Styela clava: one gene and its partner. The protein of the gene in region 1 interacts with the protein of each later gene in a pairwise test. Links are inferred from orthologs where the notes say so. Each region holds a gene or a part of one and is shown on either strand. Other genes may lie near its edges. The genes, in order: protein Red-like and WD40 repeat-containing protein SMU1.

Evidence for each region.
Region 2: the proteins of protein Red-like (region 1) and WD40 repeat-containing protein SMU1 interact in binary tests that used the Caenorhabditis elegans proteins (3 or more experiments, as listed by UniProt). The link is inferred for Styela clava from reciprocal best matches to the Caenorhabditis elegans genes smu-2 and smu-1.

What each region holds. Positions count from the first base shown.
Region 1 is NC_135257.1:13,445,053-13,461,471, forward strand, and holds protein Red-like, read right to left. Parts: upstream 7,304-16,419; 5' UTR 7,272-7,303; coding exon 5,685-7,271; 3' UTR 5,062-5,684; downstream 1-5,061. Other genes in the region: protein AATF-like, read right to left, coding at 1-53, 467-624, 1,103-1,240, 1,343-1,487, 1,881-2,109, 2,740-2,927, 3,023-3,087, 3,652-3,860 and 1 more. UniProt on the Caenorhabditis elegans protein: Auxiliary spliceosomal protein that regulates selection of alternative splice sites in a small set of target pre-mRNA species. Selectively regulates alternative splicing of unc-52 exon 17.
Region 2 is NC_135261.1:1,558,424-1,575,766, forward strand, and holds the start of WD40 repeat-containing protein SMU1, read left to right. Parts: upstream 1-9,443; 5' UTR 9,444-9,474; coding exon 9,475-9,548; intron 9,549-10,128; coding exon 10,129-10,237; intron 10,238-10,879; coding exon 10,880-11,030; intron 11,031-11,785; coding exon 11,786-11,907; intron 11,908-12,270; coding exon 12,271-12,355; intron 12,356-12,720; coding exon 12,721-12,877; intron 12,878-13,605; coding exon 13,606-13,774; intron 13,775-14,893; coding exon 14,894-14,989; intron 14,990-15,577; coding exon 15,578-15,736; intron 15,737-16,288; coding exon 16,289-16,447; intron 16,448-16,873; exon of another isoform or gene 16,874-17,098; coding exon of another isoform or gene 17,099-17,343. Other genes in the region: vesicle transport protein USE1-like, read left to right, coding at 2,420-3,199; E3 ubiquitin ligase Rnf121-like, read left to right, coding at 5,949-6,908; uncharacterized protein LOC144430759, read left to right, coding at 17,099-17,343. UniProt on the Caenorhabditis elegans protein: Involved in pre-mRNA splicing as a component of the spliceosome. Selectively regulates alternative splicing of unc-52 exon 17.

The DNA of each region.
Region 1 (16,419 bases):
TGTCAACATTTTTCTTTGCTTTACTCCGTAATCTTTGTACTTTTAACCATTGCCTTGAAAATTATTTCAAATTGGAATTCATAAAAATCTTTAGTGATCACTTTGACAAGACAATTTACCACCACAACACAAAAATATTTCATTTATTTTTTATAATTTAGGAAAGCAATATTCATGGTACTTTTAACCATTGCCTTGAAAATTATTTCAAATTGGAATTCAAAAAAAAAATCTTTAGTGATCACTTTGACAAGACAATTTACCACCACAACACAAAAATATTTTATTTATTTTTAATAATTTAGGAAAGCAATATTCATGAATAGACATTCACTAAAACTATTGAATCATTTTCATAAAATTCATCAGATACCTTCAATGCATGATCAAATTTTATGAAAAATAAAAATTAATTTTCAATTCAATTAAATTTTTATATATGATATTGCTACAAATATGTACAAACCTCGTAAGTTCAACTGGATCTGATGAACCTCCAGGTCCTGATGATTTTTGTTCAATGAGTTGTCGAAGTAACTGGTGATAAAAGTCATCGTCATCATAGATTTCAGGCAGATATTCTTTTAAATGACTACTGTGGTTGTCGGCATCTTCAACAGGTGTCTATTGATTGAAAACAAAAGCTAAAGGGCAAAAAGCAACAGTTGACAGGGATGGGTGAAGTCAATAACATAGACCTGATATGAGTAAAGGACTGAAGCTTGGCACACAACTCTGTTCAATTATTCGTGCCTTCTTTGATCTTAAGGCAACATGATACTAAAATAAATTGTCTTTGAAAAACAAATATATTGTGAATTATATTTATTAGGACTTTCCATTTTTATTCCAAGGTAGAAATTCAATAAGACAGCATATCCATGTTGCGAACCAAAAAAGATTAATGCCCAATCACCAGTCCAGATCAGCTTTGGAAATAGCTGAGTTACCCGTAATTATTCGAGATTGATGGATACGGATGCTGAAGGAGTCAAGACGTAACCAGCTTAGGAATCCTTTCACACATAACTCCTTATACCAACATCTCAAACCAAATTCTGGACCAAAAATTTAACATACTAAACCACAATATTTCACAGACCTCTAGTTTATTAGACTGAGTCGTTCCCAGTATACGATAGTTCGTTCTTTTCAATTGTGTCCGCTTGATTAATCTTTCACGGTCTTGTAATATATCTTCTATCTGAGAAACTGTCGACCGTTCAAAATTTGAGAATGACTGAAATATAAAGAGTCATAATTGTTATGAAAGAGGTAAAGTAAAACATTATGATATTCTTAACTCTACAAATATGACGAATACTGATTTACGTATGTATACCTTTGATTTTGATGTCGCTGTTAATCTTGTTTTATCATACCACAACTTCAGTACTTTATTCCTATGAGTTTTATATGAAGTAAATCTGTCTTGGATCATATCATTCACCTCTTCCATCGACGTTGTACTTTTCCGCTTGTTATTACTATGCATAAAAAATAACAATAAATTTAGAGATGACTACCCACAACATTTCTATTGATGTGTGTCAGTCAATGGGAACATTACACAAGATATATCTCTTCAATGTGCACTGTGATTTTGTAGTGTCATTCAAGTCCCAAGCATTATAAAATAAATAGAGCAATATGATCGCATAATGTTACTGCTGCAACAGCAGATCCAGACGATTAAAATTTCAATATACCAGTGCAAAAACTTCAGATTTTGATGACGATAAACTTGGAGATACTTCAATAAAATTCATTATTTAATACTATTGAAAAAAACTAACAATTTCACATACTAAAGCTAACGTATCACTGAGATTTAGGTACCATGAATGTATTCAATTTAGGGTTTTTGACAATAAACATACCTGATTTTAGAATCTGCTATTGACTGAGTTTCAGGATTTTGAGTGAGAAGTCTCCTTTCTAATTCTAACAATTTGTATAAAAGATTAGACAAAATTTTATCCGCAGATGAAAGAGAAGCTGGTAATTCAGTTTTAAATAGTTCCATCTTATCATATTGAGGTAATCTGTTAGATATTGTAAGTATCTTCTGAAATTTGATTCGAGCTTCAAGCATATTTTCCCACAAACCTAAAAAATATAAAAAAAATTCTCAAAAAAACAAATTGAATTTATTCGCAAAGTCAAATAGTCAATATCTGTCTGTTCACATCTATCATTTGTTTATGTTTATCCTCGACAAAGAGCATCGATAACTTTGAACTAACAGTAAAAAGTGTGCTCTTATACAAAATGTGAGGTAAGCAAACAGAAAAGTTATGGCCCTACTACATTGTGCAGCAAATGAAATTTTAGCGAATATACCGTAGATAAGTATTGTACAATACATTCAGGTATCGTTTTCGTTATATGACGTCTTTCACTTTAAACAAAGCTCTATACAAGTCTCTATTACACCAATATGTAAACAGCTGCTTTTTTCTTAAGGACCTCAATCATTCACCTTATTACACCCTGAGTGAGGTGGTGATCATAGGTTCGAACCATGGATCTTTAATGCCAATATAGTTGAGCCCAAAACTCTAGCCATCATAGGGCTTCGCTCTAATGATATAAGTATGACCAAACAATTACATAATCCAATCAATTTGTCATTCCCATCAAAAATATTGTCCAACATTAGATGAATATTAGAATTAACCAGATTGGCAGATAAAACTAACAAATTTTAATTAATAAAAGAAACGTAAGTAATCTCACAAAATTGATTTCTAGTAGCTCTCGATTTTAATAATGGATCAGCCTTTTTCCTATTTTGAAATATTTTTAAACTGTCATCGCCATCTCCATCGGCTTCATCAGAATCAATTTCTTCATCCATTCCATCATCTTCATCTAGCATAATGTCTCCAACTTCACTATTATAGCTAGTATCACCATTCATTTCTCTGCATTAGTAGTGAAAAACATATTCAAATCAAGAATTTGGATACAGGATGTCAATAGATATAGAAAACAACATAATAGAAGTAAAAGAATATACCTCTCAATATCTTCATCAGTTTGATCATCTCCACTGTCAATATTTTCATCTTCAGCATTCCCATTCTATAAATAAATTGCAATTATATAAAACACATTCTAAAAAAGACATTTTTCATCACCCAAACTTGACAAATGATAAACTTTTGTCCTAGCACATGAATAAATACAGCCAACCTACACTACCAAACTATATTATCAACAATGACACGAGGATAACGATAAAATCAGGTAGAGATACTAATAAATAAATAAATGCTTTTTTAGACATAGTGAAGTTCAAGAAATGCAAAATTTTTTCCTTATACTCGGACAGGATCGAAACAGAGGATGAAAAACAATTATAGCGCAATTTTTATCCTAATTCTTGCTGTGGCTGCACACTTGCACAGACTATCTCGTCTATGATATGCACTAACTGGAAAATATTTTCAGTCAAAAACACCTCGACAGCAAAGATATTTGATATTCTCATAAAGACTAAAAACGATATTTGGAGGTCATGATATTCGAATTACAAAAGAATTCTACTATCGTACATGATTTTTCTCACTATTCTTGACGATACAGAATAAAACGGAAATGTAATCTAAATACCTTAATGCACTTCATGATAGCAACAATATTTACCTCCAGTTCAATGTTATCTTCATTGCCAGACTCACTTCCATCACCATCTGATGTTTGATTCCTTGATACAACTTTACCCCTATATAGCTCTCCCATGCCTTCGAGCGACTGCATTTTTCTTCGGCCAATTCCAGGAACATGTTGAATAACTGTTCCATCTTCAGCATCACTATTCAAATCATCTTTCTCTACAACTTTAGCTCTGGTTTCTAAACAAAAATTCTACCATGTAAAAATACAACAATTTTCATTAGGTATAGATAGTCGTAATATATCGTTTTACTTAGTTCGTCACTTCAATCATGGAGTAACATTTCGGTCAGATATGCTAAACCCATAAAGTACAGTCATTTCAAAACTGGGTAGCACATACAGTTATTAGTTTCTGGCATTACTGCATTATATAAAGTAGAAATGCAAATATCAAACAAAACAGATGATCTATATATATTTTAATTCAAGAAATTCAAGAACAAGGAGTCTATGATCAAGGATACAATTTTTCTAAACCAAAAAAATCTTCAAAACAAAATTGAAAGCCTTTTAGGGAGAAGTTTCAATCTCCGAATAATTGAAATGTGACAGTGATTCAGTAGTTGAAGAGAAAACAATTCAATTTATACCAACCACAATATTCACAAACAATGTTTGAGTAATAATAATAATACTGGGTCACTGGTTACAGCAGGGGTGCACAACCTTTTCTCGTTTGACGGGGGCATTACATTTTTGTAAAGCTGACTTTTTCAACGAGTGGCGTCATCGCGATCAGGTTTCGAACAATAACTTCTTTACATAAACGCCAAAAAAATCTAATTTCATCTGGAATTAAAGAACCGTTTCTCTGTTAACGATATCCCGCTTTAGAGATATGAAAGAATATTCAGAGCTGTTACTTTTTTATAATACTGATAATTTATTTCCATTACAGACACAAGTAATGATATGATTTTTCGTAACACTCAAGCGCCAACATAAAACATAAATTATTTTTCAGTAACACACCAGCACAGCTGCACATTTTACCTGCGAAAGCCGCATGCGGCCGTACGGCTGCAGGTTGTGCCCCCCTGGGTTATAGCGTTCAGTCAAAGAATATTATGAGTATGTAGGTACCCAGCAACTCAGTAGCAAGCCAAAAAACACCCCTAAATGGTCAGGTCTATTTAAGTCTTTAGGTGCCATAGCACAACCACAACTGTAGAAGTGCATCACAGTTTTAGCAAAAAAATGTGCATAAAGTGAACAGTAATGCATTGAGTGTTATATCACAAGTACCTTCATAAATATCATCTTCTGGGTCAATGCTCTTCACACTCGGATCGAAAAGCCTAGCAAGTTGTTCAGCTAAAGATGTCATGATGACATTTAAAATTGTTATGTATACTTTAAACTTGATTTTGTACTTGGTTTTCTAAATAAAAAAAGCAAACATTCAATAAACTGATAAAGGTCGATACCCTTCGATTGACATTATTAACAAACATTTATGAATGCCCAATGTAAAATTTCAGATAGTGGCAGTCTCCATGCATTTTAATGAATTTTAGGAGAAAAGAACAAAAACTCTTGAGAAAAGTGGGTATGTAAGTACTTTATTGGATTTTATCGTCACAATCATTAATTCAACAACTTTTTATTGTAACATTCAGAAAATTCAAACCTAAATATCAGAATTATGAGATCAGTTACAGAAGAGCATCCATTTGAACTACAGTACCAGTTTGTGGCAAAGATGTGACTAAATGATACAAACCACAATCATAATCAAATATAAGAAACTCCATTCAAAGGCAAAAATTCCAAAATATGCACTCATTAAAATAATACGGTTACGACAAATTACACATTCTATACTTGTCTATCCATTTATATATACACAAATCAATTTACAAAATAATGATATGAGAATATCACTTTTAACAAACAGACATTCAACATGATGAAAACATTGGCAAATACAGTAATTCTCACAAGTTCAACCTTGAATTTTTTTATGATCAAAGTAATGCTTATAACTTGATAATATATAGTTAATATTTCTTATAATTCGAATCTCCACCCTTTCGCTTTTCAATAATTTGATTGATTTGCATCAGTTCGCGATTCAATTTTTGTTTTTCATTCTGCTCCTTGGTTCGTCTTGTTTTTCGACCTCCTGTCATTTTTATTCCATACTGGAAGGCAGCTTTAGGCATTGCTTCTTTCTGAGACATGTAATTACTATATTCTTCTTGAGTATCAAAGTCCCATCTTCCAACTGGACCTTTCTTACTACCTTGATCCATTTTACTGTAATCTGCTTCATCATCACTATCGTCTCCTACGCCTGATAAATTGTATTGCGCTGATGGATAGCATTCCATGTAACTGTCAGATGCCCCCGCTGTGCCAATGAGTGGATTGCCTTTGCCAGACTCTTTCTTTTGCTTTTTAGTTTCTTTGGTTTGGTCTGGTTGTGACGACCCTGCATATTTTTCATTGACATTTTTTACAAAATTTTTCACTGAAGCAGCAACAGCTTGTTTTGATTCAACCATTTCTTCTTCCATTTTAGGTTTCTCAAAATAAGAATGAGCATTTTTTGCAGGCTTGCTTCTGTTCTTTTTTAGAGTAGGAACATATTCACCAATATCATCAAATATGCCCATGTCTGCTTCAATGGGTCTTTTATGTGGCCTATCATTTTCAGTCTTTATCTTTCTATCTTTCTTCTTTCTATGCTTTTCGCGAGCACCTTGACGTAAATATGACAATATCTGAGTCAGTTTATTAATAACAATATCGTTAGTTGATAATGTTGTTTGAGACTCGAGTGTTGGGCAGTCTGCTTTACTACGAAGCAGAGTAGTGGGAATATCTGTGTCTGCAAACTCATCATCGACTTGAAAAACGTACGCCATTCGTCCCGGCAAAAACAATTCATTTCTTAGTTTCATTTGAGGCTGGAAGACAAGTCTGTGTATGTTTTTTGCCATTTTTGTTTTGAACGTAACCACTTCTTTCTGTTGCTGCTGTTGTTCTTCTTTCGTGTTTTCTATGTCTTCAGATAAAACTTTATCAAGTTCTTCGTCCTCTCGTTCTTTTGTCGATATCTCAGCTCGAACCTTTTGTAAAAGAGCGAAATCGAGACCTTTTACCAAGTGAGTATGAGCCATGTCACCTCCAAGATATTTTGATTCTTGGATGACTTGTCTTCTTTTCTCAGCGGAAGTTCGGTCCGCTTCAGCACTTGGGCCAACGGTTTTGTAATTAGCAGTTGTATTGATAAGATCAGATTCAGCATAATCTCCTTTACCTTCTCTCCTCTCTTTTGCTCGATCTCTATATTTCTTTTGAAGTTCAGCCTGCCTTTCCATTTCTTGCTTTTTAAGTTTTGCATACAAACTTTTCTTTTTTCTTCTTTTTTCAGCAGCCGATTCATGATCTTCTGAATCAAATTCTGATTGGGACGCTGAGACTCGTTTTGCTCGATCATCGTGAGTTTTTTCACCACCAGCTTTAGGGGTCGTCAAAAATTTTCGAAAGTCTGCATTGGTTAGAGGTTGTTCATTAACATTGCCATCAGTCTCATGATAATGCTCAGGGGGCAGAGGATTAGAAAATTCTTCATTTGCCATAATGCTTTATTGATAAAATTAGTTCAACAGTATTTATAAAATATAAAAAAAAAAATGAATGGCTGAGTATTGAACTGTCACTGACATAACGGCGCGGCGTTGTGGCTCAACGGGCTAAGCGTTAGGAATACGCTCGCCACCGCACCTCTAATTACTCTGCGTGGGTTCGCAGGTTCGAATCCCATGCAGGGATGGTTATGTGCGAGAGGATTGCTGGACTTCTCGCCGTCGTTGGGTGGTTCACGTAACCGCTGGTCGGTTACGGCTTCCTCCACCACCAAGTCCATGCTTCCGAAAACAAACAATATAACTAATCCCATACCATACCCGACTTGGAATGGTAACCGGACGAGAGGCCGTGGTTCGCCATATGAATAAGCCTTCTTATCGGCTTTCCTCTCCCCCGGGATAAATAGGTAAATTCTATCCTATCCTATAACTGAAAGAGATTCCAGTTTAAATGAAGATGGATGGCTTAAACTTGTATATGCCGATTTCCACGCTTTGTCGCGTAATGCAATGGTGGTGAAATAGTATCGACACTTTGATTGTTCATTATCTTCTGTGCGAGCGTGCGCCCTTATTGTTGCGACACATTTGCATGGTCGCAAGATTGGCACTATCGCCATCCCCTTGCAATGCTTCTAATTTACGGATTCATTTGTATTAAGTCAAGGAAGTCACATAAATACAAATAGTCAGATAATAAATAAGTTAAATAAAGTCGTGCACTTTGTTACAAATTACAACACCCAATAAATTGTCTCATGTCTTAAAAAACGAGTTGATTTATTGGAAAAAATCCTTTAAACATTTTCACACTTTTGGCAAATACCGTATTTTGATAATGATAGTCAAAAGTATCGACTTTTTATTATGATGATTTTCCGTTGCGACAAAATATTCAAATTCATGAACAATAACAGCATTTAAAATGCCTTGTCGTATTAATTTAATTTTGTTTAATAATTAACCTAACTCGTGGTTGCGTCAACTAACGAAAAAATAAAAGTATTACCGACAATCTGCAGCATTGAATGGTGTGGTGCACTGGCCAATTATAATTAATTTTTTAAACCTATTACAGTACTTACGAAAAACAAATATTGATACAACTCCAAAATACCACGGCAATCTGTGGACATAAAATGTGTGGTTGACTGCCCGATTAGAATTAACTTTGATTTATTAATTCGTACTCACGGAAAAATAATAATTTTGATAATGATAGTTGAAAGTATGGACTTTTAACTAAGATGATTATATGTTGCAAAATATTCAAATCCATGACCGACAACAGCATTTAAAATGACTTATTGTTATTGTATTAATTTAATTGTTTTTAACGTAACACATAGTTTTGCAGACTCGCGAATAAATTAATGCATTACTACTCTAAGATACGGCGACCATCTGTGAACATAAAATGTGTGGTAACTGCTTGATTATAATTACAAAATACAAAAGCATTACAACTTTAAAATAACGCGGTATCTGTAGAAATATAATGTGTGGTAAAATGCTGGATTATAATTAATTTTTGATTCACACTTTCGTACTCACAAAAAAATAATTTATACCTTTACCCACTTTCGGCAAATAGTTTTGATAATGATTGTTAAAAGTATGGAATTATCGGTTGTGCAAAGTATTTACCGTAAATCCATGACTGATAACAGCATTTAAAATGCCTTCGTATTAATTTACTTTTGTTCGATGTAGCCTAACTCATCAATGCCTCGTCTTACGAAGAATAAAATGTTTCAAAATACCACAGCAATCAAAAACACAAAACTAATGGTAAACTGCCCTATTATAATTAATTTTGATTCGCACTCTCGTACTTACGAAAATAAAAAGGGCATACTACTATAAAATATCACGGCAATCGGCGGATATAAATTTTCTGGTAGCCAGCTTGTAGGTAACGGTAATTCCATTGTTTATTGTATGCTAATTCCGCCATAAAGATAAGCTTGCATTTATTTTCGAAGTATTCGAAACTTAAATAATAATTTTGAATGTATTCGAAATAGTAAATTATTCGGTATTGGCCATCCCTGATGCCGTTTGAAATTTGCTCAATTAGTTTCACAATGTTTATGATATGACAGCACAAAATGAATATCCATGAATGTGGAGAAGGGGCAACATTTTTTAATTATGACCGACTGCACTCCTATGGCCTGAAGTAACATCATTGAATCAAATGTCTCAATGTTAAATGGCGGATAAACAGTTCACCAATCTGCCAATAGGATATCTGTATAACTCAAAATAAATAACGCCATTTCAGCATTTGGTTAATAATTTCTGAATTTAGTTTAAATCAGAAATAGAGTTTGCTATTGGGGCATCATCGAATAGATAGGTTAGATTTTACGAGAAAAAGTTTAGGAATATCAAATATGTCCTGAAGTCACCTCAGGATTGACACGTGAAAAAATTGTTATGCTACGCCTACTAGAAGTACGTTAGGTAGGAAAGTAGGGTGGCTTACCCACTTTGCGACCATCAACTTCATCGATTAAATTAATGCCGAAAAAATTAACGAACCGCGACGATATTTCTCACACGTTATCGTCCACTTATCCCTCGTAGCTCTGCGAAAAGACACTAAAATGCGGCCACAAATAAAAAAGTTACGACCGAAAACCTGACCGAAGAAAAAAAACGGACCATTTTACCATGTCGCCAACTACCCATTGTTCCCTCAAAAAAGCTTGAAAATCCATACAAATATAAGAGATAAAGAGATGAAACTTGGCAGGTGGGTAGAGTTGTGTTTCTTTCAACCATCTTTAAAGTTTCGCGTTTCTACCTTCAAAGGAGGGGGAGTAGGGGGGTGCGCATTTCCAATACGTCAATAATATCTTTGTCAACTAATTTGCGACCACCGTGTTTTTGTCTGTTTGATTGTTGTGATGCGGTGCTTTGTTTATAATTTGAAGAATTTTGTTTGAAATAACCGTGTTCTTAAAATATATAACGGTCAGAAATGCAATTAGAAGCCCATTTTTTCACGCATGGCTGCGTATGCCCCAGTCTCGACACAGCAGAAACGATGTTCAAGGCTTGAAATCCGTGATCGCACACTGGTCGTTCGGTCGCAAATACGTCTTCAGAGTGTCGTACTTTGGTGGTTTGTATAGCTTTAACCCCTGGTCGTAGAAAGTTAATTCGAAGTTCAGCGTGTAGAATAAATGCCAATGCACTTACGGTGAAAAAATTAACGGGTTAGAAATATTGGTTTTTGTTTTATAGCGGTTTGAATGAAATCGTCCGCAGATTGGCTACACCACCCTACATGAGACCCTAATTTTTCTAGTAACACTAAGTGTAAATAATGACTTACAATAACTTACTGTATTCAGATATTAGTATGTACCATAGCCCAGTAGTCTCATATTACTGTACCGGTATTACAGTATTAACTGCTGCTGTTGCCAGACTGCAGTATTGTGATCACAACATGCAGATATGCATACCATACACCTCTGTGAAGCTAGCAGCAAAACACGAAATTGTGACTGACAGAATCGCAGAAAATACCCACGCGTAAAATTAAATGTTCCCAATGATTTTTATAAGAAAGTGTATATTTTGATTATTTTCACAATAGCAATTAAAGCAAAACAATCATTAACTACACTCCTCGTATTGTTAATATATGGTAAACAAGCTAAAGCGACTGTTACAGTGCACAAAATTTTTTTATAATTCTTTGAGAGATGTTTAAAAATGACTGAATTTTCGTCGTGTAACATGGTCGTTTCATGAAAACCTCCAATAAAGGCAGCATTGCAACACCATTGGTGAAAAGTAGAAACCTCAAAGATTCGATTTCAATATGTCAGAACAGTCTCAGCACGTTTTGACTTGACCATATATAATACTAAACATAGCGTATATTCTTCAATTTTTAAAACAATGTATATATAACAAATTTGAAACTGATTTTGTATTTCAATTAAAATTACTGGATAGTTCATCAAAGAAGATATTTTTCTCTTTGTCACACAACAATAATGCACTTCATTAAACTTAGAATAAGTTGAGTAAAGTCTGAAATACTGAAAAAAAATTTACGCCCTCTTGTGGATTCTTTGATAAATTTCACAAAGTTATCGTTTTCGAAAGGGCAATTTCTCAAAAACCGCCAATAAAGGCAGCACTACGACACATTCGAAGAAAAGCAGATACCCTATAGATTCGATTTTAATATGTCAGAACAGTAGCAGCACGTTTTGACTTGGCCAAATATAATTCCAAACATAGCGTATATTTTTAATTTCATTGAAAAAATGTAGATGTGACATATTTAAAAACGGTTTGGTATTTCAACTAAATTTACTGGAAAATTCATCAAATACTTTCTTCTCTTGGGTATACAACAAAACTGTACGTTTATTAAACTTGGAATTAGTGTGCAAATGTTAAAATGCCAAAAAATGATTTGACGCCCTCTTGTGGATCCTTTTCGGAATTTCGAAAAATTATCGTTTTTGAAAAGGGCGATTTCTCAAAAACCGCCAATAAAGGCAGCACTACGACACATTCGGAGTAAAGCAGATACCTAATAGATTTGATTTTATTATGTCAGAACAGTAGCAGCACGTTTTGACTTGGCCATATATAATACCAAACATAGCGTGTATTCAAACTTTTATAAACAATGCAGACGTAACATATTTAAAAACGGTTTGGTATTTCAAATAAATTTCCTAGATAATTTATCAAACATCTTTTTCTCTTGGACATACATATATACTATACGTTCATTAAACTTGGAATAAGTTGCGGAAAGTATAAAATACCAAAAAGCATTTTACGTCCTCTTGTGGATTTTTTTCAAAATTTCAAAAAATTATCGTAATTGAAATAGCGATTTCTCGGAAACCGCCAATAAAGGCAGCACTACGACACATTTGGAGAGAAGCAGATACCTTATAGATTCGATTTTAATAAGTCAGAACAGTAGCAGCACGTTTTGAGTTGGTCATATATAATACCAAACATAGCGTATAATTTTTAATTTTATCAACCATGTATGTGTAACATATTTAAAAACGGTTAGGTATTTCAACTTAATTTACTGGATAATTCATCAAACACTTTTCTCTCTTGGTCATACATCAAAACTGTATGTTCATTAAACTTGGAATTATTGTGCAAATCCTAAAATGCCAAAAAATGATTTGACGCCCTCTTGTGGATTATTTTCGGAATTTCGAAAAATTATCGTTTTTGAAAAGGCGATTTCTCAAAAACCGCCAATAAAGGCATCACTACGACACATTCGGAGTAAAGCAGATACCTTATAGATTTGATTTCATTATTTCAGAACAGTAGCAGCACGTTTTGACTTGGTCATATATAATTCCAAACATAGCGTATAATTTTCAATTTTATCAACTATGTAGATGTAACATATTTAAAAACGGTTAGGTATTTCAACTTAATTTACTGGATAATTCATCAAACACTTTTCTCTCTTGGTCATACATCAAAACTGTATGTTCATTAAACTTGGAATAAGACGGCGAATCCTAAAATAACAAAAAATGATTTGACGCCCTCTTGTGGATTTTTTTCGAAGTTTTAAAAAAATATCGTTTTTGAAAGGGCGATTTCTCAAAAACCGCCAATAAAGGCAACACTACGACACATTCGGAGTAAAGCAGGTACCTTATAGATTTGATTTCATTATGTCAGAACAGTAGCAGCACGTTTTAACTTGGCCATATATAATACCAAACATAGCGTGTATTCAAACTTTTATAAACAATGCAGACGTAACATCTTTAAAAACGGTTTGGTATTTCAAATAAATTTCCTAGACAATTTATCAAACATCTTTTTCTCTTGGACATACATATATACTATACGTTCATTAAACTTGGAATAAGTTGCGGAAAGTATAAAATACCAAAAAGCATTTTACGTCCTTTTGTGGATTATTTCCAAAATTTCAAAAAATTATCGTTATTGAAATAGCGATTTCTCGAAAACCGCCAATAAAGGCAGCATTACGACACATTTGGAGAAAAGCAGATACCTTATAGATTCTATTTTAATATGTCAGAACAGTAGCAGCACGTTTTGACTTGGCCATATATAATTCCAAACATAGCGTATATTTTCAATTTTGTTAAAAAATGTAGATGTGACATATTTAAAAACGGTTTGGTATTTCAACTAAATTTACTGGAAAATTCATCAAATACTTTCTTCTCATGGGTATACAACAAAACTGTACGTTCATTAAACTTGGAATTAGTGTGCAAATCTTAAAATGTCAAAAAATGATTTGACGCTCCTTGTGGATCCTTATCGGAATTTCGAAAAATTATCGTTTTTGAAAGGGCGATTTCTCAAAAACCGCCAATAAAGGCAGCACTACGACACATTCGGAGTAAAGCAGATACCTTATAGATTTGATTTCATTATGTCAGAACAGTAGCAGCACGTTTTGACTTGGCCATATATAATACCAAACATAGCGTATATTTTCAATTTTATTAAAAAAATGTAGATGTGACATATTTAAAAACGGTTTGGTATTTCAACTAAATTTACTGGAAAATTCATCAAATACTTTCTTCTCTTGGGTATACAACAAAACTGTACGTTCATTAAACTTGGAATTAGTGTGCAAATCTTAAAATGCCAAAAATGATTTGACGCCCTCTTGTGGATTCTTTTCGGAATTTCGAAAAATTATCGTTTTTGAAAGCGCGATTTCTCAAAAACCGCCAATAAAGGCAGCACTACGACACATTCGGAGTGAAGCAGATACCTTATAGATTTGATTTCATTATGTCAGAACAGTAGCAGCACGTTTTGACTTGGCCATATATAATTTTATCAACTATGTAGATGTAACATATTTAAAAACGGTTAGGTATTTCAACTTAATTTACTGGATAATTCACCAAACACTTTTCTCTCTTGGTCATACATCAAAACTGTATGTTCATTAAACTTGGAATAAGACGGCGAATCCTAAAATAACAAAAAATGATTTGACGCTCTCTTGTGGTGTTTTTTTGAAGTTTTGAAAAAATATCGTTTTTAAAAGGGCGATTTCTCAAAAACCGCCAATAAAGGCAGCACTACGAAACATTCGGAGAAAAGAAAATACCATATAGATTTCATTTCATTATGTCAGAACAACAGCAGCACGTTTTTACTTGGCCATATATAATACCAAATATAACGTGTATTTACAATTTTATAAACAATGTACACGTAACATATTGTAAAAAGATTTTGTATTTTAACTAAATTTACTGGATAATTCATCAAACATCTTTTTTTTTGGACGTACACCAATAATGAACGTTCATTAAACTTGGAATAAGTTGCAAATTGTATAAAACAACAAAAAAATGACTTACGCCCCATAGTAATTTTGTTTAATATCTCGAACATACCGTTTTTGGAGTGGCGATTTCCACAAAACCGCAAATAAAGGCAGCACTATGACACATTCGAAGAAAAGCAGATACTCCATAGATTTAGTTGAAATACCAAACCGATTTTAAATATGTCACATCTACATTTTTTAATAAAATTGAAAATATACGCTATGTTTGGAATTATATATGGCCTAGTCAAAACGTGCTGCTACTGTTCTGACATAATGAAATCAAATCTATAAGGTATCTGCTTTACTCCGAATGTGTCGTAGTGCTGCCTTTATTGGCGGTTTTTGAGAAATCGCTCTTTCAAAAACGATAATTTTTCGAAATTCTGAAAAGCATCCACAAGAGGGCGTCAAATCATTTTTGGCATTTTAAGATTTGCACACTAATTCCAAGTTTAATGAACGTACATTTTTGTTGTATACCCAAGTAAAGAAAGTATTTGATGAATTTTCCAGTAAAATTTAGTTGAAATACCAAACCCTTTTTAAATATGTCACATCTACATTTTTTAATAAAATTGAAAATATACGCTATGTTTGGAATTATATATGGCCTAGTCAAAACGTGCTGCTCCTGTTCTGACATATTAAAATCGAATCTAAAAGGTATCTGCTTCTCTCCAAATGTGTCGTAATGCTGCCTTTATTGGCGGTTTCCGAGAAATCGCTATTTCAATAACGATAATTTTTTGAAATTTTGAAAATAATCCACAAAAGGACGTAAAATGCTTTTTGGTATTTTATACTTTCCGCAACTTATTCCAAGTTTAATGAACGAATAGTATATATGTATGTCCAAGAGAAAAAGATGTTTGATAAATTATCTAGAAAATTTAGTTGAAATACCAAACCGTTTTTAAATATCTTACGTCTGCATTGTTTATAAAAGTTTAAATACACGCTACGTTTGGTATTATGTATGACCAAGTCAAAACGTGCTGCTACTGTTCTGACATAATGAAATCATATCTATAATGTATCTGCTTTACTCCGAATGTGTCGTAGTGATGCCTTTATTGGCGGTTTTTGAGAAATCACCCTTTCAAAAACGATAATTTTTCGAAATTCCGAAAATAATCCACAAGAGGGCGTCAAATCATTTTTTGGCATTTTAGGATTTGCACAATAATTCCAAGTTTAATGAACATACAGTTTTGATGTATGACCAAGAGAGAAAAGTGTTTGAAGAATTATCCAGTAAATTAAGTTGAAACACCTAACCGTTTTTAAATATGTTACATCTAAATAGTTGATAAAATTGAAAATTATACGCTATGTTTGGTATTATATATGGCCAAGTCAAAACGTGCTGCTACTGTTCTGACATAATAAAATCGAATCTATAAGGTATCTGCTTTTCTCCGAATGTGTCGTAGTGCTGCCTTTATTGGCAATTTTTGAGAAATCGCCCTTTCAAAAACGATATCATTTTGAAAATTCCAAAAAAAATCCATAAGAGGGCGTAAAATGATTTTTTCGGTATTTCCTACTTTACGCAACTCCTTCCAAGTTTAATGGACGTACAGTATGTATGTATACCAAAAGAAAATGATGTTTGATAAATTATCTAGTAAATTTAGTTGAAATACCAAACGGTTTTTAAATATGTTACGTCTGCATTGTTTATAACATTTTGAATACACACTATGTTTGGTATCATATATGACCAAGTCAAAACGTGCTGCTACTGTTCTGACATAATGAAATCAAATCTATAAG
Region 2 (17,343 bases), on another chromosome or scaffold:
ACACTACGGAAATTGATTTTTTAATTGATAAAAAGGCTTTGACATACCTTGAATGATCATTTAAATGAAATTTTTCGTGACTCATTGTTGTGTCAGCTGCAATTTTAAAATTTGTCAATCAATCAATTTTATTTTGGTCACTCTGAAAGAAACAGAACAACAACAAGATAGCAATCAGAGACCGCCGACTTATCGATCTAGCGGCGTGTATCCTTCGCTCTGACTCAATAGCGACACCGCGTGTCCCATAACTAATTAATTGATAACTCGCTAATTATAGGACATTATTCATCCAAAATCAATAGGCTTCTGGTCTGAGATATGATGAATGTACATACAAGCTTTGGAGCAACCTTGCTTTCGTGGAATAGCGCGTAACATACGAAAGTATCTATCAGACAGACAAATACCTATCATTTTTTGGGGGATTTTTTTGCCTATTCAAGTCAATTGGAGCGTAATGCAACGGTTCTTTTTTACTTTAGCTTACGACATCAAACTCGCTATGAACTCGCTTCACGATGAGCGGCTAACCAAGATTAATTTTCCCATTTTTTGTCTCTTTATAATAGGAATTTATGCACACTGTATATTTTCCACAGTTGAGTATGTTGTCTGTTAATTAAGGTACTGTGGGTAGCGGTGCCCCGAGCCCCGAGAGACGTGGATCTCCCCAGATTCTGTAGTGATTTATTACGCACGTAATCAAAAAAAAGCATTAGCTATTATTCTTCAATAAAACAACGACTAATTTGACAATGAGTTTTGTCATGACGATTCTTATTATATGGAAATTCAAAATGTGTTCAATATATCTTTCCTCGAGAATATTGTCAATACCGCGTGCAAACTCTACCCTGAAGTTTGACCTCCGGATTTCAAATATATGACTCCTTGTAGCGTCATCGTTTCTATTAGCAAGACTGTCTGGATCAAAGTGACTATGATCTGGATTGGGTAGTTCAGAACTGATAGCTGTAGGCCTACATCTATCTCGTTGTTAGTAAGGATTAAGTGTCTATTTTATTCCGGGTAGAGGAAATACGGCTTATCATATAGAAAACCACGGTCTCTCGTCCGGTCCAAAGTTTATCTTTACTGTTCACTCCCATTTATAAAATTGACCAATTTGGCAGTGCAATCATCATAAATTTATTAATATGGTGTGGCAAGTAGTTTTTATTTATTTATTTTTTATTAACTACCAGTATGTAATTTTTCATGTTTCCTTTACTTAATAACTTCTATATGGTTGTGTGTGTGGGTGCGTGTAAGCTTGTGTGAAATATTTCAATTATTTTATGTGAGTGAACACGTACCACATCTTCTTGGCAAAACCTTCCATCTTATATGCATTCTGTACGTTTTAAACCTTATCTAAGGTTTTGTTCGCTCTCCTGATTTCATAAGCAGTTTTTATTTATTTATTTTTACAATTCATTTTATTGTTTTGCTGATTATGGAGTCGAAATAAACTTATACTTAATATACTTATACTTATTTGGGGCAATCTCCCACCTAAAACTAAAAAAAGTTATTTGTGCATGTTTTCAGTAAGACACTGACCTGCTGACTGACTGAAAAAGTATTTCCTAGTGAAATATTCTAATTAGTCCTAATACCTTAAATTATTTTCTCGAAATATAGACTATCTCGTGTTTGATTTGCTTATTGAAGGTCATGGCCATTTTTTCTAACTTTTGTGTGTGCATAATTGAAAGTTGCTGTTTTTTTTATCTTTTTTTTTACACAAATAATTGCTCTGTCATCAATCTGATGATTATTATGTTCAACTCTAAAAGGCATTGTTAATGATATTTCCAACTTTTTAATTATTGCTGAATCTGTGATAATACTGTAATATGATTGCTTCAATATTATCTTTATTTCTCCATGTATTTGAGTCCGGTACATGTCCAGTGAATATTTAATTATAAGAAAATATAATAAATAGCTAATTGTAAAAACCAATCTTGATATTTGTTTTGTTTCTCTGGGCCTGTCCGCACCTAAAAACTATTGTACATATTGTCGTTGTGCCTTACCTTTTTGTCTTGTGTATTTTACTAGAGTTTTATTTGTATTGTCAATTTCATGTCTGTTGTCCTGGTATATCGCATCAGTCCTAAAGTGCTGTTATAATTGTTAGGGGTACATGTCGCACATCTGTGTCTTAGGCCAGTAAGGTCTTGAACATGTATCCCGTCTCTGTTATACTGTTCAATTATTATGCAGATACTGTTACATTTTGAGGCAAATAAACATACATACTTTGTGTGACCCAGGATAAATATGTGAATCCTATCTTAGTTTATATTGCGGAAGTCAACAAACTAGACATAAATTCCAAATCTTTAATCTAATCTAGAGCTGTCACTAAAATAAAATAAATAATAGCTAAATATTAAGTTATTTCAAGATGGCTCCTGCAGTGAGAAGCCGAGCAGAGATTCGTCTTATACGACTGCTTTCCAGATGTGAAGAGATGGCTGGGTTAAACACACCTGATGACTGGAGACTTGAAAAGTATGTTGGAGCATTAGAGGAACGTCTACAAGCGGTCCAAAAGCTTGATTCCTCGGAAAAACCAAAGGAAGATATCATCAGTGAATACGCAAAGAAAATTAAATTTTTAAAACAACTTTTAGAGACTCAAAAATTACCTGTCACATCAGAAAAATCTCTCGCTAACCAACTACTCGTGCCAGCAAAGTCTCGGACGATTCCAACTAATAAAGAATCTCCGACGGGAAAGCAGATTCAAATGCAGGCATCGTCGAGATACACTACGGAAATGCGCGACGAACTCATGCTCACAGAGAAGGAGAAATCAGCCGGAGTGCGCTATAGAGCAACGTCTTCTGGTGGAAGTACGCAAAATGCAGACACTGAAGCTATACTGCAACATCAACATAAAATGCACGAAAAAATTGCTGACGAAATGGTTGCGTTAACAAGGAATTTGAAACACAACATTATGGCTTCTAACAGAGTTATAAAAGATGATTTGAATGTGATCGAAAAATCTTCTAAAAAAGCTGATCAGAATTACGGCCAACTTCAAACCGAGTCGTCACGACTTGAGAGTCATTTAAAGAAAGGGACGAACTGGTTGTTGTGGATATCTCTTGCTCTTGTCTGCGCTGTGTTTATGTTCATGATTTTTTTCATCAGGTTTTTTCCCAAAAGGTACTCTTGATTGTTCATCATTATTATTCTTGTAAGTGCCAATAATGCTATCTCAGGGGTGTGAAACATTTAAAACAGGAGGGCCAGATGGATATAACTGGGTGAAATCGCGGGCCACACTTAGCTTTTAAGGCATTATGAAGTCATAAGCCTAGATAGTAAATTGGATGTACCAAATCAAATTTAAAACTTGTTTCTCAGGCCGCACCTCATTCAAAATTGTCACTTCTTCGTGGGCCACACAATTATTTATAGAGGGACGAATTTGGCCCCAGGTTGCACACCCCTGTACTGCGCCATCGTAGTAAGAATGTAAGGAGCATACGATACAAGTTTTCTCAATATTTAATGTGCCTATAAACAGGGATGCCCAGTTCCGAATACTGCACTCTTCCGAATACATTCTAAAATAATATTTTCGAATCTGGAATTTTCAATACATTCTAAAATCAGACATACAAATTTTTGTTTTAGTAAATTACGGTAATATCCAGTAAAATAGGAAATAGCTCCAATAGAAATATTAGAATGAGGCCACAAACCAACAGTATATGTACACAAATTATTTGATAGTTTATGCCAAGTTTCTATTGAGAAAGTTAACATTCAATGAAGACGCTTCGAGAGCGATGTCGCAGATGTGTGACGTTACACAAAAATTCGATATTCCTATAAACGTTGATTCCGATATTCGAATGACGAGATATTCAAACTGGCCATCCCTGCCTATTAATCTACTAAACAAGATAATCAAATGCGAGAGGATTGCTTGGCTCCTCACAGGCGTTGGATGGTTCATGTAACCCGGCCAGTTGTTGATAACTGATAACTGATTAGGCTATCTAATTCCATCATGGATTGGTAACCGAACGAGTGGACATGGTTTGCCATATGATTGATTTGTCTTATCTGCTCTTCCGGGATAAATATATTGAAATCTTACTCTAAACCAGGGATGTGCAACCTGCGACTACGAGGAAAAATTGTGTGACCCGTGGAGAAATGCCTATTTTGAAATGGTGTGCGGCACGAGAAACGAGTTTCAAAATTCTCAAGTTTAATCTAGTACATGCGAGTAATTCCTGTGCGTTGCAAAGCCTATACCTGAGCTCTTGCGAAGCGAGCACTGCATGTCATCAGATCAATACTGGGGCTAGGCATTTTCGAATACCTGATATTTCAGAATCGAATAATTTTTTCGAATCGAATCTCGAATACTTGGAAGATATATAATCGCATGTAACTTTCTTATTGTATTGAACACACAAATTACTGGAAAAGTAAAATACATAACTCAGACAGATTGCTGAAGCGCTCACACACAATAAAAAACACATTTTCATCAATAACTCACTAATTTTTGTGCCTGCATCTACTAGAAAGCCTATGGTAAATAAATTTGCTGCCCGCGGTTTTACCCAATTATGTGTATCTGGCGCTCCTGTATTATTAAAGGTTGCACACCCCTGACCTGAACAGATGAAAAGATGCTTTACTGCCTGCCTGTTACCAGTTGTGCATTTAAATATTGAGAATCTACTTGGTACCACTTTTATAATGTTCTATTTTATTGCTATTTCTTGGTGCAATTAGTTAAAGTCTTGATGTTTGAATTGTATATTTTTGACATGTTTTGGTGAAGGATATTCTGCATTATTCATATCTTTAATCAAGGATTCAAGAACTTGGATCCAATCTGTGGATATCATTTACCTCAATTCTAAATCCCTTAATAATCAATAATTTATCTCCGTATTGATATATTGTGATCAATATTGGATTTGTTGGATTAAGTTTCACCTGAGTTGTGAGGTAGGCTGATTCTCACCTCTCTTTGTTGTATATTTGGAAAGCAACTCATGGATTATGTTTTCATGGTCATAAGCAGTGATAAGGAGGCTCCAGTCCAGGGGTTCCCAACTGTCCATGGCGTGGCCCCTTTCCCGAGGTTTTTTAGAGTTTTTTGTAAAAGGAAAAATAAAATCAGTTTTGCGCCTAGCATTGTGGCTCCCTTGTGGGCGCTCCAGTAGTATGTGAACCAAGATGGCGAACACCGGAACGTAGCATGTGTACCAGGTTAGGGTTAGGACATAATTTTATTCCAATTTTTCTTTTTTAGTCCTATTAGGAGTTCGGTGACTAGCCAAGTGACTCCTGTAGTATTTGTACCTGAAATTATGGCCTAACCTGGTACACCTACTATGTTACGGTGTCTGCCATCTTGGTTCACATACTACATGAGTGGCCCCAACTGCTCTAGTCATTGACACTAAGTCACTATTTATAAAAAGAATCAAACGAGATTTGATTTATCTGAATAAACCGACTGCGAGTGTTTGACACTTGTCCCGAGGTCGACTATTTCCAGACTTGACAGGGTCTATATATGGTCAGGTTCCCCATATGATTATGCCATGTTATTGGATTTTCCCTTGTCTTGAGATACCCTAAATAGCGTATGGAAATCTATACAGACCTACAGAGTTACCTATAGTGCAATTCCGACTACTTTGCCACGGATAGAAAGCGTTGATGCATGACAGGCCAGAATAATTGCATTCTAACATAATGGCATTTATGCTGTCAATTCTCACTTTCTTGATTATCTGGTTAAATTATATTGAAGTACTGAGCCTCATTATTTTTCCTTTTGAATTATTGCTTCCTAACTATTGGTGAAAATTATATAATAATATATTATTTTTGTTTCAACTAAGACAGTTTAATATTTATTTCATTCTTAATTAATAATTTAAAAAATGGAAGAAATTAAAGAAACTATAGAGATTGAAGTCCAACCAACGAAACAACTTACAGAAAAGGAGAAAATTATCGCAGAGCGTCTCGAGATGCAGCGGAAACATAAAGGCCATGAAACCATGCATTTAGAGATGATTTTTATTCTTATTTCGACATTAATTGTGTCACAAATAGCGCTTGTACAATGGAAGAACCGTCACCCTAAATCTTACAACATTGCGACTTTGGTTGGGATGTGGATTATACCGTTAGCTTTCTCGTTACATTATCTTTGGTGGAGATTTTTAACAACATGGGTAATTTTCACTGTCGTTACGGCGTTTGTTGTTACGAAAGCAAGGAAGAAACCACTTCGTGGTACAACGCCAAGATTGGTTTACCAATGGTTTTTAATTTTGTTTCGAATTTGCTACGCTATCGGCGTTTTCGGTTATTCACTGATTGTTTTAACAATGATGGGTGTTAATATGGCATTCAGGATTCACCCTGAGACAGCTATGGATTTTAGCGTCGTTTTGATGTTTTACGGACTTTACTACGGAGTTATGGGTCGCGATTTTGCGGAAATATGTTCAGACACGATGGCTTCAACAATTGGATATTACACAAAGACTGGAATGCCAACAAAACAATTATCTCCGGACGTTTGCGCTGTCTGCGGACTTGTTTTAGTACTTCCCGTAGACGAGGATGACGAAAATACAGAGAAAGTCTACAAATTGTCATGTTACCACAAATTTCACGATTTGTGCATTCGTGGCTGGTGCATTGTGGGTAAAAAGCAAACCTGCCCTTACTGTAAAGAGAAAGTTGACTTGAAAAGAATGTTCACGAGCCCTTGGGAGCGGCCTCATATTTTATATGGTCAATTATTGGATTGGATTAGGTACCTTGTAGCTTGGCAACCTGTTATATTAGGCTTGGTTCAGGGAATAACATGGAGTCTGGGTTTAAAATGAGAAATTTCCAAAAATTATCTTAATTTAAAAAAGAACGTTTATTTAGTGCTCTTTGGGAAGTGGATATGAATATTTAAATAGCAAGTTTCAAATAAAAAATAGTCAAATAATAAATTTTTGAAATATATTTTCGAATGTTACCGATTTAGAACATTTCTTTGCTTTGCAATTTAAGAGTCGCTTGTGCTGCACACTAACACAAATGTATTTTTGTAACGTTTTGTCCGACCCAAATCAGACTTCCTCAGACAAGCAGTTTACGTGCATGGACTTAATGGCGAAGGAAACTGTAATCACCCAACGGTTAGGTGAACCACCCCACGTCGGCGAGGTGTCAAGCAATCCTCTCGCATATAATCATCTTCGTATGGGATTCGAAGTTCGAACCGGCATAGGGTAATCAGAGATGCGGTGGCAAGCGTATTCCCAACAGTTAGCTCGATACACCACTGAGTTGCTTCAATTCGAGTGCAGAATCATTATATGCATTCACTGTCCAATATCTCCTTATAATACGATATTTATATTTAACACGAGGGTGCTTCTTGTCTTGTTACTGGATGGGAATAGCTTACAATTGAATTTATTTCTTCCTATCTTGATGCAATTTCAACCTAATTAGGTCATGCGAGTGCAACTGAATTTCAGCGATTTTTTATTATGAGGCATTTTATCATCTAAACTCTCTATAAGTAGCAACTGATACATAAAGGGATACTTTCTTTTGAAAGAACCGATTTTTCCTGTTTTGCATTGCCTACCCAATTACTTACAAACTGGGTGGTGACCATGGGGATTGACAAAAGTTAGGCAATTAGAAATTGACATGTCAGAAGTTACTGGCCTGAATTTTTCCAGTACAGCATTGCCTAGCCAATTTATTACCCACTGAGTTTCTCGTCCACATGTTAGTGTTTAGATATGTTGTGCCTAGACTGTATTTTATTGACCTTTGACCCCTGACTTTCTCATCCGCAATCAAATTTGCTATGTAATTCAAATTTATCTTCTATTTCACATTGGTCAGGGACGTAGCCAGGAGGGTGTTTTTGGGTGTCGCCCCATTTTGAAATGTAAAAAAAATAAAAGCATCTTTTTGTATCACACAGAGCAATTCTTCGTAGATTGAAACGCTTTTTAGACCTCCATTACTCGTGAAAACACACGTTTTCCAGCGTTCGGTCGGACCCGCGAGCTGTTTCGATCTAACTTGGCAAATAGAAATTTCAGAACCCCCCCCCCCCCATGTTGTGCCTAGACTGTATTTTATTGACCTTTGACCCCTGACTTTCTCATCCGCAATCAAATTTGCTATCTTAGTATCTAATTCAAATTTATTTTGTGTTTCACATTGGTGTTCACATGTTAGTGTTTAGATATGTTGTGCCTAGAATGTATTTTAATGACCTTTGCCCCCTGACTTTCTCATCCGCAATCAAATTTGCTATGTAATTCAAATTTATCTTGTGTTTCACATTAGTGTTCACATGTTAGTGTTTAGATATGTTGTGCCTAGAATGAATTTTAATGACCTTTGACCCCTGACTTTCTCATCTGCAATTAAATTTGCTATGTAAATCCAATTTATTTTGTGTTCCACATTGGTGTTCAAATGTTAGTGTTTAGATATGTTGTGCCTAGAATGTATTTTAATAAACTTTGACCCCTGGATTTCTCATCTGCAATCAAATTTGCTATGTGAATCAAACTTATTTTGTGTTTCACATTGGTGTTCACATGTTAGTGTTTAGATATGTTGTGCCTAGAATGAATTTTAATGACCTTTGACCCCTGACTTTCTCATCCACAATCAATTTTGCTATTTAAATCAAATTTATTTTGTAATTCACATTGGTGTTCACATGTTAGTGTTTAGATTTGTAAAAATTTTTCATAGCAAATATCTTTAGTTTTCTGTTTGTAGTTCGAATTGAGTGCAAAATTCATTATATGCATTGTATTTATCTGTCCTAAATTGTTGTTTTGTTTCATTACCCTCTGCGTGTTCCACAACAGATTGGCTTGTTTATTTACTCTTTCCACTAACTGGGATGGCTCGGGGACTCCTCTCATTGGGCAACAAAAAAAAAATCTAATTTTAAGCTCAATAATTGTAAAAATCCAACAACAATTATTAGAGAACATGCCACTTTGTTATTAGAAAACATGCCACTTTTATTCCTTGACTAACATTTATCAATTTACGGTTTTATTCTACAAGTAATACGTACTTCGTACCTCCTAACGTAGCGTCGTATGCTATACCAACACCACAGTAATTGTTAGGCGCTTACAATAATAAACAGGAGGGCCATAAGAGCTTAAAGCCGCCTGACCCCATAGTAGGTTAAGAACCACTGGCATAGCACAATGTGCCAGCTATCAAATCGACCTATTCTGAATCAGGTCTTGTCTATTTTTCATCTGATAGATATTTGTGTGCTAGTAAAACATTATATTTTATTTTTGTCAACATCATTATTTATCATTTTACTGTTCTAAGACAAAGTTTAATTTGTTTTATTTATTCTATCATAGAGGTATTATTTAGAAAAAAAATAACAGAATGACTTTAGAAATTGAATCTGCTGATGTTATCAGGCTTGTGGAGCAATATTTGAAAGAAAGTAACCTGCACAGGTGTGTTACCGTACATCCTTTAATATAATTAATGATTTTATAATGATGAATTTATGATTATTCGCATGCAAGCCGACCCCCAAAAAAGGACCCAAATTGTTGAATTTATGATAATTCGCTTATAAGCAGTCCCATTTAAAACAGATCTGAATTGGGGAATTTATAAAAATTCGCAAATAAGCCAACTTTACAAATCTTTGTTTAATACAAAAGTTGAAATGAACTGTTCGAGGACATGAATCGAACATGTATTTTTCCTTTTTAATCTCAACAGGTGCTAAGATATACTTCGGATTTTTAAATTACTCCAACTTTTTATTGGAACACTTTGGTGAATATTGCCTCAAACTTTAATCAGTAACTAGCTGAAACTAAGAGCATTTAAATATTTTTTTGAAATTTCAACATGTCTTGGAACATTCAAAACAAACAATACCAACATACAGGACAGAAATTCAATTCCAGTTATGTTTGATTTGTTTTGGGCCTGTCAATTATTTTACCTGTTCATTTTATTATTCCAGAACTTTCATTCAAATTGTTTCAGACCTTATCCTAAAAATTCATTTTGTTATTTCAGAACCCTGGCAACCCTTCAAGAAGAATCCACTATTTCACTCAACACTGTAGACAGCATAGATGGCTTTGTGTCGGATATAAATAACGGACATTGGGACACAGTTTTGCAGGTAAAGCATTAGACTCCACCATGTAGCTATTCTAAGCTAAAAATCTCTGGTTTAAATCACATGTTTATCACCAGGGGAATGGTTTTGCGAGTCGGAATCCCCCCTCTTTTTTGGAATGTAAAGAAAAGCATTTTTTTCGTACCATACATAGCAAATTTTTCATAGCTTGAAACGCTCTTAGACTCCACCAAGCCTCTTGAAAACCACAATTTTTGATCAGACGCCCTGGCTGTTTTATTTTAACATAACTTTGCGGTTAGAAATTTTAAAGTTTTTAAACATGTAGGACTATAGAATAAAGGTAAAAGGTCAACTCTTTTTAAGCCCACCCTTTGGGAACCGCTGCAATAGTGAATTATTTGATTTTTGCCATCCCTGGTTGATACTAAACAATTGGAGTTGCGACTTTTAGGGAACAGCCATTCACATGCAATTTTTTTCAAATTTATCCAGGCCATACAATCCTTAAAGCTGCCAGACAAGACTTTAGCGAATGAATAAAAAAAGAGGGTATTTCGTGTCATACATAGCAATTTTTCATAGCTCAAACGCTTTTTAGACCCGGAAGATCTTTCTGAGATTTCCATGAGAACAGCCATCCACATGCAAATCTTTCAAAATGTTTTACCACTCTTTATTCAGGCCATTCAATCCTTAAAGCTGCCAGACAAGACTTTAGTGGATTTATACGAACAAATTGTTTTGGAATTGGTGGAACTACGAGAACTTGGTGCGGCAAGATCTCTTCTCAGACAGACAGATCCTATGCTTGCATTAAAGCATTCACAGCCAGGTTGGAATTAGGGTTATTTTCAATTCATTTTTCATGATCAGAAAAATCTTAAACTTATCGTATATCCTTGCCGCATATAAGCAGGGTTTAAAACTCAAAAAAGTTGCCAAACTAAGGGGTGAGCTTATACTTGCGTAACTCTGATAGATACCACTAAATATTTGTCTTATATGGCAATATCTCTGATGGCACTCAAACCAAATAACAGTATGCTAATCTAATTCTAACAGCTGCAACTTGAATTTGCTGTGATAGGCAGGTATGACGTGTTGTGATTTGTAGGGTCAGCTTATATGAGAACCTTTCTAATTTCGTAATTTGTAATTTCCTAATTTCGGATAGGGCTCCAGACTAGCAAGACCAGACACTCAGAGGGCTACTATATTTAGGAGGGCCGCGGTCTTTTCATTTTTAGCATTGCCTTGCTAATGTAATTACATCCTGTGCCAGTTGGTATGTCGAAATTTATTTTATTCATTAGTAAATTTTTTAATTTGGGAGTGATTTAGAACATTTTTATATAAAAATTAGATATTCTGAGCTGTAGGTGCTGTATTTGATATTTCATATTCGAAATATATTCTCAGAATGTATCCGGAATAGTGATACATTCAGTTTGGGTAGAGGTTCCGATATCTCAAAAATTATTAGCTCTCCACATATCCATTTGTACTGAGGCGAGTTCGGAGTAAATGTGTCCATAGAGTAAAAAATGAGCACCTCAAATAGTGTTTTAATTTTAATTGCATTTTCAGATCGCTACGTTCACCTTGAAAACCTTCTGGCAAGGTCATATTTTGATCCGAGAGAAGCCTATCCCGATGGATCAACCAAAGAAAAAAGAAGAGCCGTGATAGCTCAGTCCCTGGCTAAAGAGGTGAGTTTAAATTGTTGTGTATTTTTGGAAGTAAGATCAAAGAAAGAATGGTCACTGGGTTGACTGTTGTTAAGGCTGTTGTGAAAAATCACTTCTACCTATATAACTGGGCTAATTTACCAATCTATCTGGAATTTTGTGTACTTTGAGAAGGTACAAAATGCTAACAGTCTAGATTTGTCTTAGAGTAATTTGGAAACCGATAAATTTGATACATATGTCATTCAGTACAATTCTTTCAAGAACATTTGGCTGGTATTTTGCTGATATTGGAGTGGCCGTACAAGTCAATCAACAACAGTGTCCCATCCGTATATTTAAGCATTGCACTCTTGTTCATCAGTCTAATTATCTTTCTTTCAGGTCAGTGTTGTACCACCATCTCGTCTTATGGCATTACTCGGCCAGGCTCTGAAATGGCAACAATATCAAGGACTTTTACCTCCAGGTAACACTAGTTAGCTATTTGCATAATTCGTACTATTCTGTAGTTTAATCGAAACTTCAACCTATGGGCATGGAGTTTGTGGTGTTTTTACTGACTTATTTTAAACTTAGCTGTGCAATGTATTTAACGTGGTGACCGTACATTTGAACCCACGTACATTTGAACCCATGCGTATATCCACGGGTTCAATCTATATGCGGGTGCTAAAACCCATGGGTTAGGGTTAGTATGGGTTTAACTATCCGTGAAACAAAAAAAATTCCATAGGTGCAATAGCATACAAGTGCAATTGTCATGGGTTCAAATGTACGTGGGTTCAAATGTAATGGAACCATTTAACGTCACTCTCTTTTTTACCTCTCCAGGGTCAACGATTGATTTGTTCCGAGGAAAAGCAGCAACAAGAGAGGAAGAGGATGAAAAGTATCCGACAATGCTGAATAAAACAATCAAGTTTGGTCAGAAATCTCATGTTGAATGCGCAAGGTTTTCTCCTGATGGACAGTACTTGGTGACTGGGAGGTAAGTATCAGTGGGTACTCCCGTAGTATGTGTACCATGGCAATTACCCCCATATATTTTATTTTACTGAGCCATAAAATTATTTCACGTCATGCTATGATCAAGGCTTAGTCCATGAGTCATTAGTATTAGCAAGCTGTTATCACCCTTTTCTTACATTCCCCTTTTCCTTAGTTTAGTAACTTCACTATTTCCCTGGGTATTGGTCCTTTACATAATATAGCTTCGTATTAGGGTTAGGCGATAATTTTATTCAGGTTATCCTAGTTTAGATTTTAGTTCTATTATGAGTTCGAGATTGTCTGTGTTAGCCAAGTGAATACACCCCGTCTATAGGTTTCAGTCCCTTTACACAACTTGATGTAAAGTAGGCGAACAAAAATAGTTACCTCCATATTGGTACACATACTTCTGGAGAGCCTGTCAGGTTGAAATAGTTGGTATTGGGTTAGGGTTCAGATAAATATATGCGAGAGGATTTCTGTGCTGCTCTTTGTTTCAGGGTGGTTTTCATAATTGCTGGTTTGTTATGGTTGCCTCAAAAATTAAAATTTATCTGTCCAGAACTGCCGGTGTTAAGTGCTGTCTATTACAAATCTTGCCCTGAAATAACAATAATAACTGAGCAAGAGACTGTGTATCAACATATACCAGCTTGTCTTATCAGCTTTTCTCTTCCCGGGAAGCGAAATGAAACATCACAACCTCACACAATTTCTTTTTTACAGTGTTGACGGTTTTATTGAAGTATGGAACTTCGCGACCGGTAAAATTCGTAAAGATTTACAATTTCAAGCCCAGGATCAATTCATGATGATGGATGATGCGGTTCTGTGTCTTGCATTCAGTAGAGACAGTGAGATGCTGGCAACTGGAGCCCAAGATGGAAAAATTAAGGTATAATATAGCCTTGTGGTTTAAAACATCCAACTTGATTGTGTCTTGAGTTCAAAAGGATTTTCGCTTGAATACAAATGTGTAGAAAACATGAGCGCGTCCAACTTTTCTGCTGCTCGAGTTTCTGATAATGATTCTCCTTATACATAACTTCAAAGATAATTTGGGGGATGAACAAATTATAGATTTTATTTTGTATGAGAATAAATAAAATAAAGGTAAAGTAAGATTGAAATGTTTGTATTATTATTATTCGAATCATCAAACTAAGCAACAAACTCACCCCTTATATGTGCTGCCTGGGGCGGCTACCCCCTATGGTCGCTCTAGACCAGGTGTGGGTAACTTCTCTAGTCGGCGGGCCATATGTTAGAAAATGAGGTTCTCGGTGGGCCGGATTATAACATGAATAGTATTCAATATCTCAATCACATATTTATTCGCTAATGCAAGAAAGAAAATTATAAATCACGTTTAAAGTAAAGTTTAAACTACAAAAAAATAGAGACCAAAAAACACATAATGAATTTATCATGATTTACCAAAAGTGTAATAATGTAATATCATAATGTACTGATGAACAGTCAGCAGACGGTCAAAATCTCGTCGCAGGCCGTACGTTGCCCACCCCTGCTCTGGACACACCCCTGGTAGGAAAGTTGGAATAAACAATAATCTGATTGTCCCAGTTGTTAATAAAGAGAGCGTTTTTTTCATAAGAAGGAAAGAAATACTAACAAGGAGATCAACTAGATAGCGATCAGAGACTGCCGTCTTATCAATCGTACTGCGGTTTCGATTCCTCCGCTCAGACTAAATAGCGACAATAGTGTCCCATCACTAATTAATTTATAACTCGCTGATTTAATGACATAATTCATCCAAAATCCAATAGGCTTTTGGTCCGAGATATGATGAATGCACATGCAAAATTTGGAGCAGATTCAACCTTCGCTTTCAAGATATCGCGTAACATATGAAAGTGTCTAACAGACAAACACCTATGATTATGAACATACTTACCGATCGAGATCGATAAATAACAACAAAACGATCCATAGCACGGTCCACTTTGTGTCCAACAGAATTGTGGCTGAAATACAAGTTTTTGTCTTTCAGGTTTGGAAGCTGACTACAGGCCAATGTCTGCGTAGGTTTGAGAGAGCTCATACTAAAGGAGTCACCTGTGTTACGTTCTCTAAAGATGGAAGCCAGGTATGCCGTTTGGGAAATGATGTTCAATTTTGATAGTGTATCTCACGATCTCGTCGTATGGGTGGCCATTAATCGACATTTTAAACACAAAGTTGAAGCTAAGACACAAAGCAAATTTGACATAATATCCAACGATGTAGTTTTGTTAAAGTAAATAGGTTGCAAGCGGTGTTCCCTCTAAGGTGTGCGCGTGTGCACGCGCACACAGCTTTCAGAGGCTGCGCACACGCATAGATTTACTGCGCACAGACGTATTTCGATGTAATGTGAAAATGTGCTTGGTTGGCAGGTTGAGAAAGTTTGTTGTTGGCCCACCTATCACCCGGTTAGAATGCCAAAATTTCTTCATTGGTTTTTGCACAAATATTAGTCATTTCCAAAAAAGTGCGCACACACCAAAATTTCTGCGCACACATACTACAAAAAATTAGAGGGAACATTGGTTGCAAGATAAGCTGCATGGCCCAAATTCCCATACTATTACATTGGTGGTTAGACTCCTAGTTTTGATATTCTATTTTAACCCAGAAACCTACTTTGTCACATTATCTACCAGGGGTTAGTATAAAATCCTTTTTTTATTTTCAGATTCTCAGTGCTTCGTTTGACCAAACGATTCGAATCCATGGTTTGAAATCTGGAAAATCTTTGAAAGAAATGAGAGGGCATACTTCCTTTGTAAATGAGGCTTTGTTTATCAATGACGGGCATAATGTTATCAGCGCTTCATCAGATGGAACGATAAAAGTAAGATAAGAGATAGATAAAACGTTTTATTAGCTGTTATTTACTGTTATGTAAGTTTCGGACGGCCCCTCAGTGTTTGCTCGTAACTGTACCTGAATACTGTAGTGTAATATAACGCCATAATTCTCTATTGTTTCGCCAGTCGTTGCCTGTAACTTTGCTCAGAGATGAGTCTCTTTACTTCGCAGTGTATGTGACAGGGGCGTGCGTTAGCCAAGAAATTTAAAATTGTCAAGTTAGACTGTATCAGCCAAGATGATGTCACCCGAACGGCATCATCTTAACTGTTACCATTACGCTTGTTTCTTATGGCAAAAAAGTTTTGATGCTCGGAACAAATCGGTAGTCGAACACCAATCCTGAATGGATTATTTTGGACTACCGAGGTATATCACTGTGTGTATAAAACTATACATATAACTCTTAGAACATTAGTAATAACTTGCATTAACAATTTTCTCATCATAAATTTTTCACTTTTCATTGAGGATTTGTGATCCTTTCTAAACAAACATGTATTTACAAACATGTAAAAAATATTTTATCTTCCAGGTTTGGAGTGTGAAGACGACCGAATGCAGCAACACGTTCAAGTCATTTGGAGGAGGTCAGCAGGATATCACTGTCAACAGCGTCCATGTCTTGCCGAAGAATTTAGAACATTTTGTCGTTTGCAATCGATCTAATACTGTATCAATCATGAATATGCAGGTAAAGCTTCCCCAATGGTCCTGGTTTTAGAAATCTTTATTCCTTACTCATTCTGTACTGTTGGAAAGCAGGGTTTTATGGCTGATTGGAGAATTCTAAAGTATAATAAATTTGGTTCACAAACCGACCAAAAAGGTTATGGTTCTTTCTCAAAATATTGTACCTCCTGACAGAGGCGAACCCAAGGGGGGTTTGTGAGTCGAACCCCCTTTTGAAATGTAAATTTTCTGTATCACACATATCAATTTTTGGTAGCTTAAATTGCTTTGTACCTGGGCCCGCTAGTGGTTTTGGTCCAATTTGGTAATTAAAAATTTCAGACCTCCAGTTTGAAAATGCATGACTACCCCCCCCCCCCCTCCTAATGTGGTTAGTGGAGGCTTATTCGAAGCCTTGTTTGCAGTGAAGATGTGAAAACCATCTGTTACTGTTCTACTTTATTCATTTCAAGCACTGCATTCTTTCACTTTCGTTTTGCTTCATTTATTATGTTCGCTCAGGCGTGAATAATTTTCTATTGTGTTTTGTCTTCTGTTTTCACTGTTTGGGCAGCATGCTCATTATTAGTTTGTGGTTTTGTTAATCTGTATTAATCGATGTATTGACTTTGAACTGAGTTGTATTGTCAACTTTACATGGTAGCAGAGGAAAATGACTTCCAAACAAATACCACCACCAAGGTTTGGAGGCGGTACTAGCTATGCAGAATGGAAAAATAAGTTGGACATGTGGATTTCCATAACAGAAGTGCCAAAGGAAAAGCAGGCAATTTTGGTGCGTCTGCAGTCGCTTGATGGAAATAATAAAGCTGAGAAAAAGGCTATAATTCCTGTACAAATTGGCCGAACGTTGCTGAGAATGGAGGTTGAAATTGTGAATGAAGAAAACTTGCCATT